Arabidopsis thaliana: one gene and its partners. The protein of the gene in region 2 interacts with the protein of the main gene of each other region in a pairwise test. Each region holds a gene or a part of one and is shown on either strand. Other genes may lie near its edges.

Evidence for each region. Proteins that work in one complex are often made in the same cells at the same time.
Region 1: the proteins of KNAT3 (region 2) and BLH7 interact in binary tests that used the Arabidopsis thaliana proteins (3 or more experiments, as listed by UniProt).
Region 3: the proteins of KNAT3 (region 2) and BEL1 interact in binary tests that used the Arabidopsis thaliana proteins (3 or more experiments, as listed by UniProt).

What each region holds. Positions count from the first base shown.
Region 1 is NC_003071.7:7,100,769-7,106,425, reverse strand, and holds BLH7 (BEL1-like homeodomain 7), read left to right. Parts: upstream 1-2,497; 5' UTR 2,498-3,011; intron 3,012-3,185; 5' UTR 3,186-3,225; coding exon 3,226-3,777; intron 3,778-3,862; coding exon 3,863-4,242; intron 4,243-4,323; coding exon 4,324-4,384; intron 4,385-4,480; coding exon 4,481-4,936; 3' UTR 4,937-5,157; downstream 5,158-5,657. Other genes in the region: AT2G16405 (Transducin/WD40 repeat-like superfamily protein), read left to right, coding at 1-105, 216-292, 398-511; DRD1 (SNF2 domain-containing protein / helicase domain-containing protein), read right to left, coding at 5,244-5,247, 5,334-5,657.
Region 2 is NC_003076.8:8,733,662-8,739,934, reverse strand, and holds KNAT3 (homeobox protein knotted-1-like 3), read right to left. Parts: upstream 3,992-6,273; 5' UTR 3,728-3,991; coding exon 3,047-3,727; intron 2,772-3,046; coding exon 2,651-2,771; intron 2,563-2,650; coding exon 2,378-2,562; intron 2,301-2,377; coding exon 2,169-2,300; intron 2,091-2,168; coding exon 1,954-2,090; intron 1,860-1,953; coding exon 1,820-1,859; 3' UTR 1,334-1,819; downstream 1-1,333. Other genes in the region: AT5G25230 (Ribosomal protein S5/Elongation factor G/III/V family protein), read right to left, coding at 1-226.
Region 3 is NC_003076.8:16,577,480-16,584,577, reverse strand, and holds BEL1 (POX (plant homeobox) family protein), read right to left. Parts: upstream 4,643-7,098; 5' UTR 4,155-4,642; coding exon 3,297-4,154; intron 2,695-3,296; coding exon 2,303-2,694; intron 1,478-2,302; coding exon 1,417-1,477; intron 1,333-1,416; coding exon 808-1,332; 3' UTR 501-807; downstream 1-500. UniProt on the Arabidopsis thaliana protein: Plays a major role in ovule patterning and in determination of integument identity via its interaction with MADS-box factors. Formation of complex with AG-SEP dimers negatively regulates the carpel identity process and favors the maintenance of ovule identity.

The sequences.
Region 1 (5,657 bases), on a different chromosome or scaffold from region 2:
AAGGTTATTTGACTTTGCGTTGCTCCCTCAAATTAGCCCCGCGAATACACAGAATCCAAGCATCGTTTTGCCCGCTATTATCACTAGAGAAAGGAGAATACATAGGTTTGAATTTCAATCCTTCATTTACCTATAGTTTTGGTAATAGTAGATTCATAGGTCTCTTGAGAAGTGCAAGTCATTTTCTCCGCGTTTCTTCTTGTTTGAAACTACAGTTGCTGGAAGCGAAGACTCGAATGTCTACTTCTATGATCTAACCAAACCGAAGCACACATGTGTAAACAAGCTACAGGTTAGACAATAACTTCTTTTCTTTTTTTTTATCTGAAACTTTTGTGTATGGATTTTGAATTATAGGAAACAGGATTCACGAGTTGTGAGAAATGGATGCTTGCAGGGTCACAGGTTTCCAGTAATGTGTGTTGCGTGGAACCATGGGGAGAACTTGTTGGCTTCGTCTGATTTCTATGGTGTTGTCATTGTATGGAAAAGAGCAAAGACAAGCTCATAAGGTTTGTCTATAATATTATAAATGAATCTAAATCCGTCATTTTTGCCACAAAGGCTTTGGGTTTGGCATCATCTCTGTATCGCTAATCTCAAAACTGTGTCAATTTAGTTTCCCATCTCTTATAAAGATATAGTTCTGTGACACTCCTATGCACAGATTCAATAGCTTAAATGGTTGGAACAGACACGTCCTTAATGAGTTAATAACTCTTTCCATAGATAAGTTGGTAGACAATTTGAAGAGATCAAGTTAATTGTACTCGCAATGTTTTTTGTTTTGTCACATTATCATGAACCAGATTAATTATCAGTAAAATTAATGAAGATTACATAAACAACATTCCATTGTAGTCTAGTTGGTCAAGATACTCAGCTCTCACCCAAGAGACCCAGGTTCAACAAGTTCCGGCAAGCTGGTTCATCTAATTCTTCAGGGGACCAAATGGAATATGATACTTGGTTCTCTTAGAGAAATGTGGCTCTAGGATTATATTGAATTCAAATTATGTAACTGATGAGCATTTGGTGCTTATATTAGTGTGGAAGTGGTTGGACTAGATAATCATGCTAATAATTAAACGTATTTCAACCAGCAAAAAGAATCCGAGTGTTTTGTGTATTAATTCTTTTACTAAAAGCAATAGAATCTCAACTTCAACGTAAGTAGGGCACTAATAAAAACTTAACATTTACAATTCTCTTATTTCCCAAGCAAATATCTTCGGCGTCATGTTCATATTGGATTAATAATAATAAGAAGAAGGGTTGGTTGGTCGTCGTATATTATGAAGACACTCTTCCCTATCCACTGACTCTATCTGTCCATTGTCCAGGTCTCTCTCTCTCTTTCTCCTTCTGCCATCTCTGTCCCAATTCAGACTTCTTTCTCTTCGCTACCCATCATTTCACGTTCTTCACTTATCCACCCCAATTTACTATTTTTATTTTCTTTTCAAGTTTTTATTCTCATATTTTGAAGTGTAAATTTAAATAAAATGCTTACCTATGTTTTCCCACAAAATTAACTCTTGTGTATTTCGTAATTTTTTTTTTCATAGAAAATAACTAAATCACTTAATTCACAAAAAGTCTATTTTGGTCTCTCCATGCAAAAACTATAACCTTTCAGTGTGTTGGTAAGAAAAGGTGGTACCACCATTTTCTATCACACTAAGATATCTCACCACACATTTTAATTTGACTTACCTCTTACCACCATTTCGTACCACCTTATACTACAAATCAGACTTATTATAAAATGTCTTGGAGTTGGGATTTTCTCAATTTGTTTCTGATTCGTAATCGTAAAGTCCTCCATGACAAGATATGGACCTACACTTAGTGAAAAGAAAGTAAAAGTTAGAAAATTTGTAGAAATACCTAAAATCTGTGGGCACAAAAAGACAAAGCTAAGTGGGGAAAAAGGCCACTTATTCATTATTTATGAGAAAGAGATAAGAATATGAAGTGTTTTTTTTTTGTTTATTCCTTGCAAAAATAGTTGTATGCAAATGCAACTATATAGTAAATAGCATGTGGACCATCACAGATATTATTCGAAAGAACAAAAAAAAATCAAATGTTGAAACTTGAAAGTGAAATTTAAAGACAAAGAAGAAGAAACTGTAAAAAGCTTACCAAAAAAGTGAAATTATTTTATTGAAAAGAAGTTGAAAAAAAACATCCGTGTGTAAACTTTGACACGTCGTTACCCAAATTATTCCCCACTCTAATAAAGATGGACTAGTCTACACAAAAATTAATATTATCTTTGATTACAAATCGGACATGAAATATTTAAAAAATTGCATAGCACCAAAATTAGATATGAAAAACGTTCATTATATATTTGTCTTATTCTCCAAATATGCTTGATAAACACATTATTATAGAAGAATTACGAAAATATCTTTTACTATTGACACCAATCAGGAATATATCAAATATTTTTAGATAAGAATATAAAAAACACAGAAAATGATTGTATGGTGGTTATAGCTTCATTCAATTTTATTGCAGCAAACAAACAGAAAGGCCAGAGAGACGAAAGAGAGAGGCATTAGGGTTTAGGATTAGGTTTTAGAAAAGGGTTTAGATCTCTACCAACTGGTTTGTTAAGAACATAATCTCCTTACCACATTTTTACTCTTGAAAACATTTTGATCTGTTTTTGTTATCTTCACCAAAAGACTTGACTCCAAGAAACAAGAAGAAGAATCAAGAAGCAAGTTCAAGAACCAGCTTTTAATGAAATCTCTACTTCAAAAAGGAAACTTGCTTTAAGGAGGATGGATCTTTTGTTTTCTTGAATCTTTTGTGTGGGTAAAACATTTTGTATTATCAAGATTTTGATTTGAGGAGATAAAGAGTTTGTTGTTAAGTTTGTGTTCTTGGGATCATCAAGAGTTAAAACAAAAAAAAAAAAACATTTCTTTTTTCCTTCTTCAATTTGAGATTTAGTGTCTCCTTTAACACCCACAAAGCCAGCAGATGCTTTCCTGGTAATTCTTTAATCTATCCTTTCTTCTTCTTTTTAAATTCTTAAATTCATGCAGAGAGATAATTCTCATAATTTTCATTGGTTCAATTTCTTAAAATTTGCTTAATTAAGATTTTATTACATAATGTGAAGTATAAAAAGGGTTTAGTGTTGTTTGTGTTTGATTCTGAAACAGATGACTCCTTGTTTGATCTGATCATAAGAAGAAGAAGACTATGGCCACTTATTACAAAACTGGCTCAAGTGAGATTTATTCCAGACCAGAATTTGTCCCTGGAAACGCAATGAACTACACAAATTCTTTCACAGAGACATTTCCTAGAGATTCAACTAATAATGTGTCACCTTCAAAAGAGATTCAAGTGTTGTCAAGCCTTGGTGGAGTTTCACAAATGGTTGAGATTCAAGATTCTGGTTCTTGGAGAGATCAAGAAGACAATGACAGGAATCGCTTCCCGGTGATGAGGCGTCTTGGCCTCAGCTCGCAGATTGAGACATCGAGAGGCAATAATAACAATGAGTATGCAACACAGGTTGTTTCGGGATTTACTCGAACCATTCACAACTCAAAGTATCTCAAAGCTGCTCAAGAGCTTCTTGATGAAACTGTTAATGTTAAGAAAGCTCTAAAGCAGTTTCAGCCAGAGGGAGATAAGATTAATGAAGTGAAAGAGAAGAATCTTCAGACGAATACTGCTGAAATCCCTCAAGCAGAGAGGCAAGAATTGCAGAGCAAGTTGTCGAAACTTTTATCGATATTAGACGAGGTAATCCGCCTTACAACATATCTTCTACACTTGTTAATGATTCTCGTGGTAACATAAATGTTGTTTGTTTCTTTGTTGTTTGAAGGTGGATAGAAATTACAAGCAGTATTACCATCAGATGCAGATAGTCGTGTCGTCTTTCGATGTAATAGCCGGATGTGGAGCAGCCAAACCATACACAGCCCTTGCGCTTCAGACCATCTCGAGGCATTTCCGTTGCTTAAGGGATGCGATATCCGGACAAATCTTGGTGATAAGGAAAAGTTTAGGAGGGGAACAGGATGGATCAGATGGGAGAGGAGTGGGGATAAGCAGGTTAAGGAATGTTGATCAACAGGTAAGGCAACAAAGAGCGTTGCAGCGGTTAGGTGTGATGCAACCTCACACTTGGCGGCCTCAACGCGGTTTACCAGATTCTTCTGTTTTGGTTCTCCGTGCTTGGCTATTTGAGCATTTCCTCCACCCGTAAGTCTCTCTACTACTCTTGTGAATTTTTTGATTGACCACAAGAGACTCTGACCATTTGTTTCAAAACCTTGAGCTTAGTTATCCAAAGGATTCAGACAAGATCATGCTCGCTAGACAAACGGGGTTGAGCCGAGGCCAGGTATTGCACTGTTAGCTTTTGTGCCGTTTCTCTCATTTAATACTTTTCTTTCTGGTGTGTTCATTTTTCATTGTTTCGTTTGATGATTGTTGAAAGGTATCGAACTGGTTCATAAATGCGCGTGTGCGTCTCTGGAAACCGATGGTGGAGGAGATGTACAAGGAGGAATTCACAGATGCATTGCAGGAGAATGATCCCAACCAGTCTTCTGAAAACACACCAGAAATCACCGAGATTCAAGAGCTGCAAACTGAGTCTAGTTCCAACAATGGGCATGTACCTGGTGTGGCAAGCAGTAGCATGAGACAAAACACAGTGGCCCATGGTGGTGACCGGTTCATGATGGTGACTGACATGACAAGAAATGGTAATGGTGGGATGTCTTTAACGTTGGGGATTCAGAATTCCGATGCTCGTGGCGATGTTCCTATGTCCGGTGGGATAGATAACTACAAGAATACCATCTCGGGAACCGATCTACAGTACTTAAACTCTCGCAACCACCAGCACCAGATTGGCTCTTCACAATTGTTGCATGATTTTGTAGCTTGAGGAGAATAGAAAGGTGTAGAAATGGATTCTTTTGTGAAAGTAAACCCAAAAAACGAAATTGTAGATTAATGAGAAAACATGAGGAGACAATCTGAGATTAGACACGATCTGTTTCATATTTAAACATGAGGAGACCTAATTATATGGTTAGAGGTACATGAGATCAAATGTTTTGACATTAAAATTACACTTAAAATGCTAACAATCATTCAGAAAATTCAAAAGGATCTACCCGAAGTTATCTTATTGACAGGTTTCTAAAACCTAAGCATGTCCAAAAAGCGGAAGCACAAGTTTCTGTCTGCGTTTACCTGAAAAAAGAAGCATTAAGGAAGTTCAATAACAGAGAAATGTGAGTTGAAGAGTTATGTGTGGATCTGATCTAAACTGATTTTACCTTTTGTAGAGAACTCTTATGTCTTCTCTTAAGGCAGGACTTTCGAGGAACGTATCACCAGCTTCATCCACATCGATCGTCTCTACCTCAAAGTTTTGATATCCGCAGTACTCGTTCCACTCGAACCACATCTTTGAGATGACTTCCTTTTTGAAACAAGTGTTGTGATCCTCTTCCTCAGGTGATGACCCAGCAATCAATCTATATGCATGCACCATCTTCTTTTGTCCGGGTCGAAACGCTCGCCCAATAGCTTGGCGGGTCACAGAAGGGTTTAGGGGAACATCCAATATTAGTATGCGAGATGCTCCAACAAGCGAGATA
Region 2 (6,273 bases):
TAACCAAGGTCTCAACATCCTCACCATAAACCTCCTTAGCAATAGGGTAGTACTTCTTATCCTCAGGAAGAACAATATTTTGGTTCTCATTGATAGTGGTAATCCAGCCATTAGAACCCCCAGGCTCTTGGAGATCTTCATCTTCTACACTATCATCACTATCTCTGTCAGATTCAATCTCAGGTCCAATATAGTTACCACACTCACCATACAAGCTACCATCCATCTTTATGTCACCTGTCAAAAAGGAATCTCATGAACTAGCAATCAGAATTTTGTAACGGCCAAATCAAGCACAAAATGTCAGAGACGAACCGGTGGGGCGAGAGAGCGAGAGGCGGTGCGAAAGCTAGAGGAAAATGCGGGTTGGCTCCGTGATAGGGTTTGTCGCCACTGTTTCTGCTATGTGAACGGAGTCGTCGTCGGAAGATTTAAATAGGTCTTTGATTCAAAATAGCGCATTTTTAGATTGATGGGCCAGGTCCAATATCTGTCAATCGGCCCAATTTTGTAAATTGAAACGTCTAAAGTGTAAACCAGAACGTAAACCGGGTTGTATATTGAAAGCTGCAATTTGAAGAAGAAACAAAGCATAACAAGATGGTGGTGGTTATAATGATTACATGAAGACAGTTCTTTACCCTACAGTTGGTAAAAGACCTAATTTGGCTTCTCTAGTTGGTGGGTGATAACGGTAAACTTTTGAATATCACTGTGAAGCATCGTCCAAGAGACCAAAACTCCGATTATTATTTGAATTTAGAAGACTAACACATACTAATGTTAGACTTCGTTTATCAAACCATTTATACAATCCAAATGACAATTCTCTAAGTTAACAACTTTGATGTTCATTACAAAACTACTTATATGAATCTACTTTCCTAGATTTAATCTAATGTACTAATGGGCTTCTCATGAGACTAGTCTTTGAACTTTGTATGGTCCTCTAATAGAGAGGCGACCAAAATACTTAAGGACACTCTAATTATCTTTGTTAATGTGTGCAGAATCTCTCCGTGATCGATAGAAAAATCTCGCCGAAAACTTACAGTAACTTGTGGCTATCACAAACGTGACAAACGAAACAACAAGATGAGGATAAACAAACAATTTTGACTAGAAAAAAGAACACGTTTCAAATTATTACAATTACAAAAGTACGCAGCAAGCTACGTTATGTAAGATGGGGTATGTTTTATTTTTTGTCGTCATCTACCATGTATAATGTCTTTTACTTATCAAGCCAATATCACGAGTTGGAATGTGACATCGCAATAAATACTACGAACTAAGCGGATAAGAATCATAAGATGGGTTAAGTACGGTTAATGCGAAACATATACTGTATAATAGTCACATAGATTAAGCTAACCAAGTGGTGCGATACAAATTAACATATGCACCTGGTCAATGCGTAACATATACTAGTAGATTAAGAAAACTTGTGCATCCCAATGTTCTCCTCTCTCACTATCTTTATTCACAAGATATATTATGGATGATGATGATGATTATCTGATGGTTCATAAAAAAAAAACTCATGCAGACAAACAAACAAAAAACATTAAACAAAAGCCTGCATCTTCAGTTTTCATATTTTCTTTTTGGTTTGTGTGCTACTTAATAAAATATATGGGCATAATCACATAACCAAACTACGTTACTATGTAATTGCACAAAAAGTTACTTTCTAATACTGTCCCCTCTCTCTGTATAATCCAAACTCCTCCATAAAATTCTCAACTTTAAATCCCTAAAACCCTGCTTTCAAATCCCATCTTCCACCTCCCCAATTCACATCATATGTTTGTTGTTTCTACGCGAACCGCTCTCTTCCGCTATTGTCACCTGCATTGCTTTCATCAGACAAACAAAAGTTTCAGTCTTCTTTGAGTCCGATCCATAAGTTTTTCGGTTATGTTACAAGACTATATTAAAGTATAATAATACCTTTTGCGTTTGTTCTTCAATACAGTGGAAGAAGATGGATTGCTATGCCAGTTCCTCTTTCTCTGATTGATGAACCAATTGTTTATCTGTTTTAGCTGCAAACCTGTCTCTTGCACCAACCTCGCCTTATCTTCCTCCTACAAACCAATATTTGGTTATGGCTCAATGAATGAACTTGAAGAAGTTATAAAGAGATGTTAGATGAGTGAACTCACAGTAGGGTAAGGCCATTTGGAATGAGATTGCCACCAAGCTTTGAGAACAGAGGTGGTATCTCCTGGTAACTTCCCAGCTCTTCTCTTCCTTAATATCTCCTCTCTTATGTCTACTATCTTCTCCTTGTAACCCTTTTCATCAACAAGACAAAGCCCTCTACATTGTTAGTTCATGAACTAGTTCAAAGAACAAGTTTGTTGATTATTACCTGTTTGAGTTCATGTTTAAGTTCTTGTCTAACTCTTTCCATCAACGACCTCTCACTCTCAGTAGGAATCAAAGGACCAAAACCCAACACATCTAATCCCCCATCGAACATATTAGCATCACTCTCTACTTGTTCATCTTCATCGTCAGACATTGTTGCTCCCATCCCTTCTCCAGGAGACACTCCTAATCTCACCAATAAAACACAAAACTTGTCAATGTCATAAAACTAACTATTGGATTCATGAGCTAATCACAGGATTCATTTTCTCACCTGTTAAGCTTTGAAGAGACTGCTCAATCTCCCAACAAGCCATCACAGCTTCCATTGCATGAACACGCACATGTTGTTGCAATTGCTCTTTAAATGAACACAGTAGCAACACATAATGTGTCTACACCATAAAAAAAACATTAATCAAACACACAATAAACACAAAGAACAAAATTTGTATTTTCTTCATCATCATGACCATTATTATATCATAAGCTCTTTTTTTGGGATTTTAGTCTTGTTTATCCCTAAAAACACAAATCTTGATTTTAATATTTTAAGATTTCAAAAATCAAGAAACCTAAGTCGGTGTGTATTATTAAAATTTGTGCTAAGTATAATTATGAAATCGTTAATTATAAAATTATAGAACAAAAAAATCTGAAATTTATATACCATGAACTGGTCAAGTTCTTTATCGTCGCCGACGAGACCTTGAGCGGCGGCGCCTAAAGCTGAGTATTTAGCGACGACGTGTTGAGACTGAGCAAGCTGAGCATCGATTCTCGGAAGCTGATCAACCGGAGTCGCGATTCTCAAACAAGCAACGTGCGCCGACAAAAGCTGCTCGTAAAGAGGATGCGAAAGGATCTCCGCCTTGTGTCTCGCATTCTGCCAGCTCACTACTCCATCCGCCGCCGTAGCTCCTCCGCCGTCGTTTTTGTTTTCTCCACCGCCGGTTTTCATCTCTCCCTGAATCATAGTGTCTGCTCCTCCGGTGACATCATCGATCCCATCTCCGACTATGGAAGCGTTGTTGTTGTTGTTTCGTTGGAGGAAAGAGGAGGAGCGAGATAGCCACTGGTTAGCAGCGGCGGCGGCGGCGGCGGAGGAAGGAGAATCGGAGCTGCTTGCGGTTGTGGTGTTAGCGGTGGCTGTGTGGAGGTTGAGGAAGTTATTGTTGTTATCTGAGGAACGAAGAAGCGCTGTGTTTAACCAATTAGGAGGCGGTGCTTCTTGGAAATGTTGTTGCTGTTGCGGAGGAGGAGGAGGCGGTTGCGGAGGTGGAGGTTGGTGTTGGTCGGTGAAATGATTGAAGGAGAGGTCTTGTGAGAGATGATTGTGATGAAACGCCATCGTTTTGGTTTGACCTTTTTTTTTTTGTTCTTTTTGAATTTTGTTTCCTGTTTCTGAGAGGGAAAGATAAAGAAAGAAGGTGAATCTCTGCTGCTTCTATGACGACGATTGTTTCATATGTTTCAATTATCACCAAAAAAAAAAAAAAAGACACAGAAACTTTTCTTAAAATTGGAAAATAATTGGTTTTTGTGGTGTGTATGTATGTATCTGAGTATATATGTGTGGGTGTGTTCAGAGTTGCACAGAGCTGAGAGATCGAGAGATGACCATTTATTCTCATATTTATTCTTTCTTATTTTTTGCAACCTATTTATCAATATAATTGAATTATTATATGGAATTTATTAGATAAAAAAATATTCCTTCTCTATTCCTTATTATTTAATTTTTTAGAGGAAAAAAATTGTTTTAAAAAAAATAATTTTTAAATTTTCTATACATTATTTATTAGTTATTATTGATAAATTTTTAATTTTAAGATAAATAATTGAATATCATTGGTTTAGAATTATAAAAAAATATAAATCACAAAAGATAATATGTTTATAATTAGTTTTAATATGTTTTTTAATATATGTGTTTTTTTAGAAAATTAATTTAAAAAAAAAAACTGAAAGATAGTAAAAACAAAACATTTTTTTAAAAATCGCTTATGAGAACTTTTATTTGTTAAATATTTTTCTAAATGCTAATTAAAAAGTAAGACAAAAATTGATTTTTTTTGTTAAAGAAAACAAAAATTGATTTTTTTTGTTAAAGAAGACAAAAATTGATGTCACCTCGTATAATCAAATCAACTGATAAAATCTTTTTTGATTTAACTAAGAATTTGTAAACTTTCTTCTATAGTGATATTATTATTGGGGGAAAGATAAAAATCCGACATCATAAATTAACCATAGAAAGCAAAAGTATTTAATAAATCAGTACGCTACATAATAAACAGTGCATTTGAGAAAATAAGATAATTTAGTTATGGTTGACAAAAATGTATTTTTTTTTCTTTTCCAATCACTTTGGTCCACATAGACCTAAGAAAGAATAAATATAAAAGTAAGTGACTAATGAAACAACAAATAGAAGATTAGGTCACGACAGAAAATTAATTAAAGAAAGTAGGTCGTCATGGTTCGATCTATGTCGTTAAATTTTAGTGGCGACTGTATTTATTAAGATCTGACGGCTGCGAAAGGTCGTTGCCTTCTTCGACTGTGTTTGATTTTTTTTATTGTTGGGAATAATAAATGTATTTTTCCTTTTTAAAAAGAGTTGCTACGTGTTGTGTTTTAAGACGCAACGTATCTATGATATGAAGAAGCGCGTGCGTTTCACGTTCAGATGTTAGTGTAATTTTATGGCACTATGAAACAAATTTAACTTATTTATTTATACAATTATTTTTTGCTTCACGCCTTTACCTATTATAAATCCTTCTCGTTTTATGTAATGAAGTTACGAGAAATTATTGAAAACAAAAAATTTAATCATGAATTTAAAGTTACAATTTTAGGTTAAAGATTTGAAATAAAACAATCTTTTAAGAATTTATTTATATGGATTTAAAAGACCTAAGTACCAGAAAACAAATTAGCTTATTTGTTTATGCACACTATTTTTTTGCTTCACCCTTTCACCTTTTTAAAATAATAATAATCATTTCATATAATATAATTTGAGAAATCACTGGTTCTTTAAAATCACATAATTTTCTGAAATCACAGTTTTTGGTAAATATAATTTTTAGATTTTTTTTGGAGTGAAAATTTTCGTACATGCTACGAAACAGAAATTTGGTATAAAATTTGATGGTAGTATATTCGATCGTCACAATAAAAGTTATCGTATATTTTTTTATTTATTTGAGTTTGGTTAAAAACTTAAACGATCAATTAATTTAGAGATTTAAACTTAATTGTGATGAATAGCGTCCTTTTGGTAAATTTTTAGCATTTAATAAGAAGTGAGACGCAAATAGGTCTAGGTTAACTCATACTATAAATGTGTGTTAACATAGTCACATATATAACTTCATCTTTGGGCTGGTTCTTATATTATCAAAACCGTTTTTATTTAGGATTTGAATGGTTATGGCGGTTGGGGCGGATAAAACCGTCAACGGATCATACCGTTTTTTATTTATTATTTATTAATTATAGTTCGTAGTGATCTAAAAAAAATAGAAGAAAACCGCAACGGACCATCTGCAGACCATTTTTACATACAAATAAACTTGGTCTGCAACGGTTTTTTGTCTGCCAGATAAACTAAACCGCAAACAAATTATACCGGTTTGTCCACACTGCATCCATCCAAAGTCTTATTTTCAAGAAACCACTTCATCAAATGTGTCCAATCATTACATAAATCAATTTATTTTATTCACAATAGTTATGAATGTCGAGCCACATGTCATCTTACTCAACCAAAAAAACGCCGAAGTTGTCCCAAACTACACGTGTGAAACGCTGAATTTTAAACATGCACGATCATACATTACATATTATATAATTTTAGTATAATGTATGTCCATGTAGGAAAGTTTA
Region 3 (7,098 bases), 7.8 Mb from region 2:
ATATGTATACGGGAGTGTACACGTGAACGTTATCGATCGACCGAGATGGTCCAATAGTCAGTTTGTTCTTTCTTTATTATGTTTGTCGTCAACTTTATTTTATTAGGTTTTGTCATTAATAACACAAAGACCATACACTCTCTCTAATTATGTCTTTATATAAATATGATGGTCTAGTGATTTTCGTTACTGAAGTCGTATCTATTCGATTCCAAATCCGTATAATGCATGCCAACTACACAAATTTCACTCGTCCATGTTTGTGTGATATCTATTTATGTGTATATTATACACAGTTACACACATTCAATTTTATAATTTGTATCAAGTATATACGTAAACGATTGTCATGTACAGACACTCAACATACTTTAAAAAAAACTATATATCCATTTACTTTTCGAAATTTTGAAACCAAATTTATAAGAAAAACAAAATTTTAAGGGATTGAATGTTTCCAAATAGTTTGAGATGGTCCTAGAATATGAAAACAGATTTGAAAAGACACTTGATAATATTTCCTTAAACAAAAATATATATGATTTACATTAAGAAAAAAGTATTAGATTGAGAAAAAAACCTCTCAATAATATATTTTAAAAAACAAAATGAAAATATCCTACAAGTGATATTGACGAACCAACTAACTCATACATTAATAATATCTCCTTGTCCACCAATCCTCCAATCCAATCAGACAACGGTATATATAAATATCTAATTTGGTTTTTATCTAACTAAACCGTTACATAACCGAATCGGTTTTGGAAAATATGTATCGATAACTTTGGTCCTAATCTTTTAATCTCAAACAATATCATGAAGTAATTGAGCTCCCATCAAATTCCTATAAGGCAAATTCTGAACTTGATCATCATCTAACATCGACGCTGAATATTGAACCGGTCCTTCTTCAATGTGGTCTCTACCGTAGAAAAGTTGGCCACCTTGAGCCGTCACTGGAGACAACGCTAAACTCACACCACCGTTACCATCGTTACGTTGTAACCCAAGCGTCAAGGAAACGTCACCACGTGGCCCTCCTTCACCAGCGTATGTCACAGCTTGGTTACCGTACAAGGAAAAGTCAAACGTTGACCCTAACGACATCGTTCCATGGGTTGAGTTGTGACCGGATTTGGATGTAGGGTTTGTCACTATTGAGGATAAAGATTCCGGTTCGACACGGATCAACTGGTCCGGGTCCGGTTTAGTATCGATCATCATCGGGTTTGTAATCTCCATTTGTTCACTTCTTGTTTCTTCACAGTACATTTCTTCAATCATTGGTTTCCATAGCCTAACTCTTGCATTAATAAACCAATTTGATACCTAACAATTTTGGTTTATTATAACTTTAGTAAATAGGATAATAAATTTTGGAATATATCAAGAATTAGTGGAGTTATTCTTTACCTGACTTCTTGATAAACCAGTTTGTCGGGCCAATATATGCTTATCAACATCGCTCGGATATCTGAAAACAAAAATAAGAAAATTTTACTTTAATGGAAAAATATAAGACAAATGGATATGTAATTAAAAAAAAGGATATAAATGATTGAAGAATGATGCAAATAAAATGGAAGCAAAGGTAAAGGGTTTGGTGAAAACTAACAAGATGTTTCATTGTTTGAGCAGTGTTTGGGAATTGATGGAGACAAGTGTTACATATGATGATAAACATATAACTTCTGTAAATTAAATAAATAAAAAGTAGAAGAAAAAGAACAAAATAAAAACATGGAGAAAAAAGCAAGGAGTTATGTATAGTTTCTCTCTTTTGTTAGTGTTAGGTAAAGAACATTGATTCTCTCTCTCAATCCACTTTGTACCTTTCTCTATTTCTGTCTTTCATCCACCAGTTAAATTTATTTTATTTAATTTTATATGTTCGTATACATATATATACATGTGTATATGTATATGTTTGTACACTCACTTTCACACCAATAGTGCAAATGAAAGAAAAAGGAAAATAAAAAAGCTATATGCAATTAACAGATTAAGGTAGATTGTATCCTATGCTTGTCAAGTCAATCTCAATCTCTCTATATAAAATGTACATATTTTTTTACTTTTATATGTTCAAAAATATTCATGTAACAAACAAAAAAAACCTATCATACTATTTATCAACGTACTATCAATGAAATAAAATCGTTAAAGAGGTTTTATATAGCTCCATAAATATACCCAATTAACTTGTGATTCTACCTTCATTGATCACTTCAGAAAGACACAATTAGTAACTTTTAGGTATGTGTAAATATATTAAGAGGATGTATATGAAATAACTTACGGGTGAAGAAAGTGTTCAAAGAGCCAAGCTCTCAACGTTGTGACTGCGCGTTCAGGCAAGCCGCGTTGTGGACGCCAAGGATGAGCGTCAACAAGAGTCATTTGGCGATACGATTTCTGTTGCCGCAAAGCTTGATCGAGCAATCTCAACCGTGGAGTTTCTCCACGTGCTGCAATAGAAACCGCACGATTATCCTCTTCTCTCTCTCCCAAAGCTTGACTTGTTGCTTGAATCTGTCCCACAAGTCCGTCTTTTAAACACCGAAAGTGTCTTGACATTGCCCTTGACGCTAACGCAGTGTATATCTCTGCCCCTCCTAGTCCAACCGCCGCTTCAAAGGCTGCCGCCGCAACTCTCATTTGCTCTCGGTAATGTCCATATCTTCTTTTAAGCTGCCAAAAAACCGCAAAAAAACGTTACCCCACACCATTCACAAAGATTTCAATCACAATCGTGTAAATGTAGATTCTTAGAATGAGTAAATACACGAAAAAGAAACAACTCGTTATGGCTTATGATGATGAAACTGATTGCTATAAATATGGAGGACCACTAGAGTCTCCAAATTAGCTCAAAGCAAAGAAAACAAAATTATATTTTGGTTCTATAGAAAAAAAGAAATAATGAGTAAAGGAATTAAAAGGGTTGATCTTTTCGTAGTTGATACGATCGAACTTGTTTTCGACGAGAATACATGAAAGAATGAAGACAAAAAAGAATCTTTTTATCTTAATATCTAAAAGAAATTTGTAACTTTAAGAAATATATGGACCTAATCAAGAATCGAAAAAATACAAGATTTATGGGTATCTTACATATTTAGGAATAAGTTGAAACCAAATGAAAGGAAAAAAAAAAAGATTTGTAAAAGACTTGTGGGTATTTTACATTTTTAGGAATAAGTTGAAACCAAATAAAAAAGGATTAGATTTTCTAAGAAACTCATGTAAGTTTTGATAGTAGTAATGAAATAATTTCTTGAAAATATATATACCTCTTCGAGCATGGAGAGCAACTTGGCTTTTCTTTTCTGAAGTTCCATGAACTCAAGAGAGTGAAGTGGTGGAACATGTTTCTTTGAAGAAGTAGTCGCAGATTGGTCATGTTGATCATTGTTGCTGTGGTGACTTGTGTCCCACTCTTCTTGTTGTTTACCCTTTTGCTTCTTCTTATGCTTCATCATCATCACTTCTTCATCGCTTTCCTTTACTCCAAGACTGCAAAACTCACTCAGTAGCTCTTGAGCTGGACTCAAATACTTGGAACTCCCAATCTGAAACTGATGATGATTATGATGCTGATGATTGTTATTGTTGTTGTTTTGGTGGTGACTATTCATCATCATCATCATCATCTGCGTGTGTTGGAGATTCTGATGTTGTGTTGATTTATTACCGGAATACCCTTGTTGTTGTTGTTGTTGGGGTCTGAGTTCGAAAGATTGGAGACTGATGCTTGTAGGATTTGAAGAGGAGAGAGAAAGGGAAAGACCTTGGCTTGGTCTTTGTGGTGGTCTCTCATCATTTACTTCACTTGGGAAATCATTATTAACATTGCATAGTCTCATGGCAGATGAAGAATCTTCCAGAAGCTGATTCTGATCAGTACCACCACTTGTCTGATGATGATGATGATGATGATCCGAACCACTTGTCATCCTAATCTGTTGTTGCTTAGAGAAGTCTATCATCATACCCATGTTGGAGTTTGAGCCAAAGATCTGATGATTGTAATGATGATGATCGGTTGGGTTTTGGTTTGTCTCATCAAACCCTTGGATCTGATTAATCATTTGATGTTGTTGCTCTTGATGATGATGGTTATTGTGACCATAGAACTGATCTCTTGCCATGTCTCTCAAGAATTGAAAACCCAAAAAGAAGAGAAGAAAAAAGAAAACTCTTTTTGGGACAAAAACAGAAGTTTCATTAAGATCTACAAGAACCCATCTCCAAGAAAAAGTTAAAAAGAACCAATAAACAAAATAGAAAGGCAAATCTTCTCATACCATGAAAATTACAAAACTTTGTATCAGAACCAAGACAATAGAGATAGCTCCTAAAACCCTACAAGAAAGTAGTTTGCATAAAGATGTGAATTATTTTTCTTCTTATTCTTTAGGTGAAGAGGGAGAGAGAAGAGATTATAGGAGAAGATAGACGAAGAAGAATAAAAGAATTAAACAGAAGAGATATAACAGAGAGAGAGAGAAGAAAAGAGATTGTGTGGCTTCACCTCTCTCTTTGTTTTGTACTTTGACAAAATTTAATTTTTCTTTTAGTATGGGTCTGTAAATTGTACTACAGGCAAAAATAAAGAATTATAAAATGGTAAAATAAAATTAAACCTAGGAAGAGAAAAAATCAGATTGGTATCTCTTCAGAGATCAGAAGACAGGTGATCATGACCCTGCCATAGACTCTATAGCTAGCCATCAATGTTTTAATCTCTCTCTCTATATATATCTATATATATATATATATCACAAGTGGGTCAAAATGCTTTACAATTTTCAAAAGAAATATTAATATTCTTTTTATTTTATTTTTTCCCGCATATAAAATGCCTCACAATTATACATTTAATTTGTGTATTTTGGTATACGTAAGTCATAATGAAATAATGGTTTATATTTTTCTTCTTCTTTGACGTTGAATTATAAATTATTGGTCTGACCAAGAAAATACTACAGGTGTCTACCTCTATTCTTTATTTTCTTCGTTCAATTATTAAGAACCTGCTAATTCGAAAATTTAGTTTACAAAAAAAATCAAAAAGGATGGTACGTACGTACATTGGTCCAAACAGTTTAGAAAAAAAATTGATTGGATAGATAACAAATAATTAAACTGAACTAAAGAAAACAAAAATTAGAGATCCTTTGCCCGGTACACAAACTAATTATACAAGCCATCTTCATATGACATATCTCTACGTTGATTTAATTATTTATTAAACATAATTTAGTATTTAAATGTTCATATATATATATATATATGTATATATGTATTTAGTATTTTGATTTTTATTGCTGAATCCATACGTGTAATCTACGTGTATATGTATTTAGTATGTATGTAGATATGTATACAATATGTTATCTAAGAAAATGATATCAATTTTGGTGTTAGTGTCGTTTGCTAAGCTTATGTAGGCAAATTTTGTTATTAAATGAATATTTTTGGAACTACTTTTTTTTTTGGTGAAAATATTTTTTGGAACTACTTTTTAAACATTTTTATGAAGCATAGCGTATCTCAAGCAATATTTGAACATTGACGATGATTTTTAATTGAAAATAATAATATTCTAAATTTAGCCAACCAGTCACGTGAATGTACAAATTTAACTAGTATTTTGTACAAAAGGTGTCCCTTTCTATACATAAATAATCGTTATATATAATACATGTATGCCTCTGCGGCTCTGCCTATTTTGCTCCTAAAATATATTTTCTTTGTTAAAGAATTATTATCAGGTCTAATTTATAACAGAATTATTTGATGATAAATGAATTTTCAAACAAAGAAGAGAAGTTAAGTTAACTTAAAAAATGAATAACTGTGAAAAAGTTTTGCTCCTAAAATAGTTTTTTTTTTTTTTGGAGAATTAACATACCAATATATATATATATATGTTGGTGTATAGATGGAGAGGTAAGTAAATGAAAGAGAACGAATCCCAAGAAATCAAACCAGAAGTAGGAGTTGAGTTCAGGCTTTTCTCAGATATGTCTCAGTGTCACTTCTCTACTGTTTAACAATTACTATTAAATTACTATCAACCATATCATAACTATATAAACATTTTAATTAATAGTAATTATATATAGTAGAATAGAGATCGTAGTCCCGTGTAATACAACACAAATGGACTGATGTCATTATTCGACTTGCACTTCGCACAGTACGTGAAAGAGATTGTGTTTTGAGTTTTAAAATACGTTGTTGGTCGGTCACTAAACTAATCGAGAAAGTACCAAAACAAAAGTCTCCTTGTTAGTAACTGCAAGGGCGAAGAAGTTAATTATATCAAGATTTAATGGTTTTCTATTAAATTCCATTTAATATGTACGCAAAAGAAGGAAAACAAAAAATCAAAGTTTTCTTAAACATTGCTGACATACAAAATCAAATATTCAAATTTTAAATAAATGTTTCTTAAATGTTGACATAGAAAACTAATATAGTCGTTCTTCTGCTTGGCACATGTATTATTAATTGTTGTAAAAATAGTGTTTATTACAAAATTTGCAAATTTCTTTCTTTAGAATTTAGATATATACGACATCTTAACATTCAAACCATAAGTCAAACACCACATTATGAAAAACGTATAATTAATTGGCGTTACAAAAACATATCAAGAAATTAATTAATTTTAAAGAAATTAAAAATTATTTAATTAAATAGTTTTTAAGTAGGATAATCTTTGATTAGTTAACATCAAAGCCAAGTTGTAAAAGAGGACATAAAAAGATACATAGAAGAGACAAAAACAACACTGTGTTTGTAGTTATTTAACCGCTAATATTTATTAGAGTCACCCAAAAAGCTTTCTTCTTTTCATTGGATGGATAAACCAGTGAGTTTTCTTATAAATGACAAATTCGAATATAACTTATAACCAACAATATCACAAAAAATTGATATTACTTGTGTTATAGAATATTCACATTCAGTTGCTTAAATATAGTATACTATTGCTATATACGTCAAGTTCATATATTTACCAACAATTCAAAAAAAAAATCATCTATACATTCATTTTTTTGTTTCCAAATTAAATACATGTGT